2 linked regions of the Macaca mulatta genome follow. The protein of the gene in region 1 interacts with the protein of each later gene in a pairwise test. Links are inferred from orthologs where the notes say so. Each region holds a gene or a part of one and is shown on either strand. Other genes may lie near its edges.

Evidence for each region.
Region 2: the proteins of AKT1 (region 1) and TCL1A interact in binary tests that used the Homo sapiens proteins (3 or more experiments, as listed by UniProt). The link is inferred for Macaca mulatta from reciprocal best matches to the Homo sapiens genes AKT1 and TCL1A.

Annotation. Positions count from the first base shown.
Region 1 is NC_133412.1:178,232,774-178,236,955, reverse strand, and holds the start of AKT1 (RAC-alpha serine/threonine-protein kinase), read left to right. Parts: upstream 1-1,382; 5' UTR 1,383-1,396; intron 1,397-1,603; exon of another isoform or gene 1,604-2,082; intron 2,083-2,535; exon of another isoform or gene 2,536-3,183; intron 3,184-3,560; exon of another isoform or gene 3,561-3,740; intron 3,741-4,142; 5' UTR 4,143-4,182. UniProt on the Homo sapiens protein: AKT1 is one of 3 closely related serine/threonine-protein kinases (AKT1, AKT2 and AKT3) called the AKT kinase, and which regulate many processes including metabolism, proliferation, cell survival, growth and angiogenesis.
Region 2 is NC_133412.1:169,015,148-169,019,162, reverse strand, and holds the start of TCL1A (T-cell leukemia/lymphoma protein 1A), read left to right. Parts: upstream 1-1,215; 5' UTR 1,216-1,314; coding exon 1,315-1,434; intron 1,435-3,002; coding exon 3,003-3,173; intron 3,174-3,585; coding exon 3,586-3,633; 3' UTR 3,634-3,643; intron 3,644-4,015. UniProt on the Homo sapiens protein: Enhances the phosphorylation and activation of AKT1, AKT2 and AKT3. Promotes nuclear translocation of AKT1. Enhances cell proliferation, stabilizes mitochondrial membrane potential and promotes cell survival.

The DNA of each region.
Region 1 (4,182 bases):
GCAGGGATGAAGCCCCAGTTTTGGCTGCAGACTCTGTCCTGAGCACTGGGCCGAACCTGCTGCCTCTGTCTACATCTCCTCCCACCCCCTCCCCTGCTGCCAGCTGAAGTCACTCAGGCTGAAAATAAAAATGCTCCCCCCACCCCAATACTTAGCCTCAGGAAGGTTAACTCACAAGAGTCCCTCTTTCACAAAAGGGTTATTATCAACTGTGGGCCTCTGGAATGGGGGAGGGGCAGTTGTTGGAGGAACTTCTGGCTGGGAAGGGGTCGGGGTGGCAGTCACCTGCATCGTCCTGTGAGTGTGCAGGAGAAGGGGGTCTATGTCCCATTCACTCACTCCATACTGGGGCCATCTGCCTCCCAGTGGACTTCGGACTGGGTGTCGGGGCTGACCAAGTCCACCCAGCAGGGAGGGTCCTGGGCTCTCAGCTGTCACAGCCCACCCTAGACACCGCTCCTCCTCTGTCTGGTGTCTGCTCCCAGCTCAAGGTGGGACCCAGGCAAGGTGTGCCCCTCTTCTCCCACTCCCCAGCAAAGTCTCCCTTTTGTGAGTGTAGCTGCCAGTACCTAGGTGAATGGTTGAGTCCCCTCGGAGCCTTCCCGCTCCTTGGAGGCACACCTCCAACTGACCTCCGCACTTCCCCCAGAGGCACAAGGTCCTGGGATTGGGCCTTTTAGGACACTCTTGGCCGTCCCCTCCACGCCCCCCAGAGTGGGGCAGTGCATAGGTGGGGCACGGCCTGAAAGTCAACCTAACCCACCCCCGCCCCGCGCAGTGGAGGCAGAAGTCCGGGATTCGTCCCTGACCGGTCTCGGGCCTGGTCTAGTAGGGTCAGGGCAGAGCGAGTCCAGAAGCGCCGGGTCACTTTACAGATGGGGAAACTGAGGCCAGAGAAGGCGTGGCCCCGGGACGGGCTGGCTGGTGGCCGGGCTCCGTTAGCGGCCCAGCCCAGGCCCTAGGCCGCCGGGGGCCGCCCCTCAGCCCAGCCGCGCGCTTCCCGGGCGCGCTCCGCCCTCGCCGCGGGCCCGGGCGGCCGCGCGGTGGGGACGCCCCGGGCGGCGGAGGCGGATGTGGGCGGGCGGCTCCGGGCGCGGGGCGGGCGCGGGGCGGGGAGAGGGCGGGCCGGCGGCGGCGGCAGGACCGAGCGCGGCAGGCGGCCGGCCCAGCGCAGCCAGCGCGGCCCGAAGGACGGGAGCAGGCGGCCAAGCACCGAGCGCCGGGCACCGGGCACCGAGCGGCAGCAGCACGCGAGGCCCGGCCCCGAGCAGCGCCCCTGCCCGCCGCGGCCTCCAGCCCGGCCCCGCCCAGCGCCGGCCCGCGGGGATGCGGAGCGGCGGGCGCCGGAGGCCGCGGCCCGGCTAGGCCCGCGCTCGCGCTCGGACGCGGCGGCCCGGTGAGTCCCCGCCCGCCGCGGCCGCCCGGGCCCGGATTTCCTCCCCGCGGGCCGGGCCGCTTTGTTCCCGGCCGGTCGGGCCGGGGCGCGAGCCGCGGCGCCGCCAGAATGGAGGAGCGGGAGCAGGAAGTGGCCGAGCGGGCCTGGGCGGGGAGGGCGCGGGGCGCGCGGGCCCGGCCAAGGGAGGGCGGCCCCACGCCGGGCGCCAGGGGTGCAGGCTGCCGGCCCCAGCCTCCCTCATGACCTTGGGGAGGCCGCTCCACCCGGCGAGGCCGGGGCCCGGGAGAAGGGGCGCTGCCGGGCCTGGGGCTGGGGCTTGGGGTGCCCCTGCGGGCCGTGGGGCTCCCCGGGCGTTGGGCCAGCGAGACAGCCGGCGGAGGTGCCCCGGGGTTAGGAGAAAGGCTCGCCGCGGCCGGCCTTCAAGTTTGTGGGAGGGCCCCGGAAGGAGACTTCATTTCCCACGGACAAAAAGTTGTACGTGGTGGCGGGGTACCCAGGCTAGCCACAAAGGACTGACCCTCCTGGGCCCCGGAACTGCTTCCTGTCTTGGGTGGGCCCTGGAGGTCCTGCCTGCTCGTCCCAGAGGCCGAGGCTTAGAGGGCAGCTGGGGCTTGCCCCTTAGATTGAGTATCCTGGGGCGCTAGCGAGCCTTGGTCCTGTCGGGACGGCCCCTGAGTGCTGCTGTGGTAAGCGGGGTTGGCTTGGGCCCCTGCTCTGTAGCCAGAGGCCGCCCCACATTCACTCCTGGGTCTCTTGGCCTTGCTCCAGGTGGCCACTTCTTGACTGCTTTGAGTCCCTCATCCAAGCAAAGGGCGGAGTGCATTGGTGGAGGCCCGGTTCCCTCTCCCCGGAGCTGTATAGACTTCTCATACACCAGGGTTCTGGAGGCAGATGGAGGAACCCTTTCGAAACACAGAGTATTTTTTTTTTTTAAGTTGTGACTTAAATAATAACAGCAGCAAGAATATGTGCTTATGGTAAAGGCAGGTGGCAGGTACGGAGGCTGTGGGAAGTTGGGGTCCCTCCGCCTCCACAGGCAGCCCTGTACTGGCCTGGTGTATATGTTTCTGTGCAGACGTACACCACCCTGTGTGTGCACAGATGTATTTTTACACATGGCTCTGGACAGCTGTCTGACTCTGTCAGCAGCAGGCCTTGGAGGGACGCAGGCCCTGGTGGGGGGTGGGGGGACATCCAGAGGTCTTTGAGTCCAGCCCTCTGCCTCCAGGCCACGCCCACTCTGTCGTCAGAGCCCCCTGTGCCTGAGGCGTGCGCGGCTGGGAGCCCTGCCCTCCTCAGGTCTGGCCTGCTTTCCATCCTGCTGAGTACTTGGGGCATTTCCCTCTTTGAGCAAGGTGTAGTCTTCCCTGTCCTGGCATTAGACACGAGGCAGTGGGCCTTCCTGCCATTCTAAATGTAGCTTAAGACAGTCAGTGCAAAGCACCCCTCTGTGGGTGTCCAGCCCAGGCCTCAGGAGGCCAGAAAGGTTGCCTGGCGGGAGAGCATCTTGGCTGACTGTGGAAAGACCCATGTTGGGGTCCATTCCACAGAGGTCGTCAGGTATCTCTGCCTGGCCTGGAGGTCCCAGAGAGGACCCTCCTCCCCTCAGGAAGGCCCGTCTGGAAGGGTAGCAGAGGACTGCTCACAGGAAGAGCATGCCAAGTGCTCTTTCTCGGGATGCCAGGAGTTGGTGATGTGGGAACTGGGTTTTGAGGGATGCCTAGGAGTTCATCTATCAGAGGGGAAATGAGGAAGCCATGCAGGATCAATGGATAAAGTGTGCTCAGGTGAGGGCTGGCTGGTGGGCCACTGCAGGGTAGGGGCCTGTCCAGTGCTCCCCCACTTACTTGCTGCCTCCCGACTGCTGTAATTATGGGTCTGTAACCACCCTGGACTGGGTGCTCCTCACTGACCGACTTGTCTGAACCTCTCTTTGTCTCCAGCGCCCAGCACTGGGCCTGGCAAAGCCAGAGACGCCTGGTACACGTTGGCCAAATGAATGAACCAGATTCAGACCGGCAGGGGCGCTGTGGTTTAGGAGGGGCCTGGGGTTTCTCCCAGGAGGTTTTTGGGCTCGCCCTGGAGGGCTCTGGGCTGCCGTTTGCGCCAGTGGCCTGTATCCTGGTCCAGTCTTCTTCATGTTTGAATTTCTTTGCTTTCCTAGTCTGGGGAGCAGGGAGGAGCCCTGTTCCCTGTCCCAGGATCCATGGGTAGGAACACCATGGACAGGGAGAGCAAACGGGGCCATCTGTCACCAGGGGCTTAGGGAAGGCAGAGCCAGCCTAGGTCAAATAAGTCTCAAAGGGACTGCCTGGAGGAGGCAGCCTGTCAGCTGGTGCATCAGGTTAGGCAGGCTGGGAAGGCCTTTTGGGGATGGGGATGATTTGTCCAAAGGCTCAGGGAGGTGGGAATGGGGAGGTGAGCAAGGCAGCAGCTCTCAGGGCCAGGTTGTTGAGGGGAGTGGTGGCAGGGGCTGGGGACTCAGCCTAGAATGAGGAGAGGCCCAGGTCCAGGGAACTGTGTTCAATTACGTGGATTTTACACTTGGCAGCTATGAGTGTTTTGGGGGGAGGTAAGGCAGGCCGGCAGTTGGGGGTCAGAGAGCCTAGAGGGATGGCAGCCCACCTGGGAAGGCAGGTGCAGGTGGAGCCCCCAGGCACGTGCAGTGGGTCTCCGACTCACCCTGGGCGAGGAGCTTCCCTTAGCCTGGCATGGCCTCACACTCAGCTTCCTTTGCTTCTCCCAGAGGCTGTGGCCAGGCCAGCTGGGCTTGGGGAGCGCCAGCC
Region 2 (4,015 bases), about 9.2 Mb from region 1:
CAGTGGAAAAGAGGTTTGCTGAGCTTAAGGGCTCTCGCTCCACCCCCAACTGCCCTTGACTTTTCTCTTCTATGTTGTATTCCTGGTAAATCCCGTTATATCTCGACTACCTTAGGCCACCTCAGCTCCTTCTTGGGAATTAGGCTGTCTGGATAGGCAAAGAGGCAGATATCCAGCTGTCAAGTGAATCAGATGTCCTCATCAGATCTCTTAATTTCCACTTTTGTGATATTTCAAAGGATCACAAATTATTTTCTTAGTGCCTGGTCAGAGAACCAGGAAAGAGCTAGAAGGTGAGACACCAAACTCCGTTCCATGGTGATGTTTGAACCAGGTTGGAGCTGGTTTCACATGTTTTTCATTGTGCATGACTTTCTTAATTGCCTTAGTGGGAATGTGTTACTGCAAAATAAAGTGAAATTGTTTTCCTTATTGCTTGTAATTTACAGAGGGATGGTTTTGATAATATAAACCAAGGACTTTTCAAATCCATTGATCTTAGGGTGGAAGGAGGGGTTTCTTTTTAAGTATTCATTTTGAACTATGCTTTCACTAGTAAATTCAAAGCCCAAGGGGAAAAACCCATGTTTCTCCGTTTTGTAATAGCTATTAGATGTCCACAGCATCATCAGACCTGCGGAAAACGCATGCTTTGTGTATGGAAGACGGAGCGTCAGGAGTTGTTCTTTGCCAAGAAATGGACCCTGACACTCAAAGGCACAAGCTGGAGGAGATCCAGGGAACCCGGGAAAGCCCAGGCCTAACTCAGGCCCGCGTGGGTCTCTTCTGATCCCAGAAGATGAGGACTGGGTCCCGGCTCTGGGCATCCTAGCGTCGACTGTGAGTTCCCAGCAGAGGCCCATAGTCCCGGTCCGGCAGCCGAGGGAAGCGGCGGGGTCTCCCAGAAGAAGAAAGGGCCAAGGTCACCCCGGGTGACTCTCCAGCAGCAGCGGAGGGCGGCGGTCGGGGTCGCTGCTGGCCGGGGCCTCGAGGAAGCCGCGGGTCAGCCAGGGCTGGGTCTCCGTTCCCAGGCGCTGCCACCGTTCCAGGGAGCCAGTCAGGCCGGGACGTAGCGCCTGCGTGGGACCCTCGCTTGCCACCGGGACCCCCACAAACCCCGCCCCATCCTGCCTTACGCCCCGCCCCCAGGTCGTCCTCCCGACCCAGGGTCCCGCCCCAAGGCCGTCCTCCCGCCCCGCCGCTTGGTGGCGGCCGCATGCTGCCCGGATATAAAGCGTCGGCCCCACATCCCAGGGACCAGCGAGCAGCCTGGAGAGGCTCTGGCTCTTGCTTCTTAGGCGGCCCGAGGGTGCCATGGCCGAGTGCCCGTTACGTGGGGAGGAAGTCACCGACCACCCGGACCGCCTGTGGGCCTGGGACAAGTTCGTATATTTGGACGAGAAGCAGCGCGCCTGGCTGCCCTTAACCATTGAGGTACAGCCAGCTCTGGAGCGGATGGCGAGGCAGCAGGGGCAGCCCCCGGGAGTTTGAGATGCCCTAGGAAGGGTGAGGCCTTGAGAAGCACCCACTGTGGGGCAGGGAGGATCCCCACAGATGAAGCCACTTTGAGCCGGGCTCTGGAGGATGAATAGGAGTTCTCCAGGCAGGGAAAAAGGGTGGGAAAACCGCAAAGAAATGTCGGCCAAAGGAGGGGACCCAGTGCCTGTGGAGTGTGACTATATGTTGACTACAGTAGGGCTTTTCTGGGCTTCGGGGTCCTAATCCTTAAAAATGGGTATCTCTAAGTGACTCATCCATACGGCCGATTATCGGAATCATCTTAGGTGGGTCCCAGAAATCTGTATTTTAAAAAGAACCCTCAACAGCTCAAAAGAACACGTCAACCAGGCATAGCAACCACTGCCCTAGAGTGTGAAGTATTTTCCATGACCTCTGTGCTTTATTTAGAAAACAAATTTAACAAGTGATGTCGTAGTATAAGCGCCGGTATTGAATCAATATTGACTTTGTTTTATGTGTGATGCCTTAAGATGGGTCCTTAGTCCATGTTAAGTTTTTGTTAAACAAATATATAACTCTTTTACAAGTATTTGGATTTACTCGATGAAAAAGAGTCAAAAAATGTTCAAACTCTTTCCAAACATAGACTGAAGAAAGCATAAAAAATTAAAACAAATTAGAACATGTATGTCCAGTAGCAAACAATCAAAAATTATTGAGTGTTAACTGTGTCTCTACAGATGAGAAACTGAGGCACAAAAATGTACATTTGTCCAAGGTAGGGCTGCTAGTAGGTAATGGGGTTGGAATTCTAGGCTGTTAACCACCACCAAAATTTGCATTTTTATTGGCACTTCAATTTTTTAAATATGTTTTTACTTTAATAATCAAGTTAAACATTTACTTTTTTAAAATCAAAATTTGAAGAAATAATCTGAATATTCGGTGAATTTCTTTTTTTAAATCTCTGGTTGAGAAATCTCTTCAACGTGACACCAGAATCATAAACCAGACAGTTTTTCATATAATCATGATAAATGCCACACAAAAACCCACTAGCAAACTGTGGGACAGATTTTGCCTCACATCATTGAAAAGGCCAGTATTCTTTTCCTTTCTTCTTTCTTTGTCTTTTTTTTTTTTTTTTTTTTTTTTTTTCCGTAGAGACAGGGTCTCGCTCCGTCATTCAGGCTGATTAAACTCCTGGCCTCAAGCGATCCTCCTGCCTCGGCCTTCCGAAGCACAGGAATTACAAGTGTGAGCCACTGCAACCCGCCAGAAAAAAAGTGTGCCTTTCATGGCCCTGTCTGGGTGGCTAGACACATGTGCGTGCTGGTGATCCTGGCCCAGCCAGAGTCCCTGAGAGGAGCATGCATGGCCTAAGGAAGTGAGCTTCAGGGAACAGTGATGACCGTCATTTCATACTCGGACCCCTGCCCAAATGGGTGGGTGGCTGGCAGGAAGGACTCTGGTTTTCTGTGCCTGGAGGAGCCCTGGCAAGCGGAACCTGAAAGTATGCCCTGTGCTCTTCTTCTCCTCAGATAGAGGATAGGTTACGGGTGCTCTTTCGTCAGGAAGACATCATCCTGGGGAATCCTATGACCCCCACCCAGATAGGCCCAAGCTTGCTGCCTATCTTGTGGCAGCTCTACCCTGATGGACGATACCGATCCTCAGACTCCAGTTTCTGGCGCTTAGTGTACCACATCAAGGCGAGTGTGCTTCTCCCAGGGATCCATCGGGTGATCTTGGGTTTCCCCTCCTCCGTGTCTGGCCTTAGTGGTTTATCTTCCCTCCATCCCAGTCCCAAAAGCATCAAAAATTGGGGGGAATGGACAACTGAGGATTTCTAAAGGACTTTCCCAGAGAGAAGATAGATCCTCTGAGGTATCTAACAGAACCCTACCTCCCCTTCCTCCCAGCCCCCCAGCTGGCCGCAGGAAGACATCTCCCGTGGGCAGCCACAGGCTGAAGGCTGGTGGGAGGAGGAGCAGTCTCCGAGAGCCCCTGAAATTCACACTTGGGTTCCTACCTGCTGTTTCCAGCTAGGGGAAGGCGCAGGAGTGAGGAATGGAGGGAGTGGAGGGCTCTGGCCGATCAATGCCTTCTCTGTCTGCCTCTCAGATTGACGGCGTGGAGGACATGCTTCTCGAGCTGCTGCCAGATGACTGAGTGTGGCACGGTGAGCTCCACTGACCAGGGCTTGACCCCTCTTAGTCCACAGTGGCTGTACCAGAAGGAAAGACCACCCGTTCTCCATGAAGGCAGTGCTAACCCCTCCCCGACTGCTGCCATCTCAGGCCTCCCAGGGATGGGAGAGTCTTCCTGGAGGCACCCATGTCTCTCCCTTACCACTTTGGGAGCCCCCTTTATCGCAGCTGCTCATATCTACACAGTACTTCACAACTTCACGTTTCAGCGAGTACTTCAGTTCCCATTGCCTTTTGTTTTTTTTTGTTTTGAGTCTCGCTCTGTCGCCCAGGCTAGAGTACAGAGGTGCAATCTCAGCTCACTGTAAGCTCTGCCTCCTGGGTTCATACCATTCTCCCGCCTC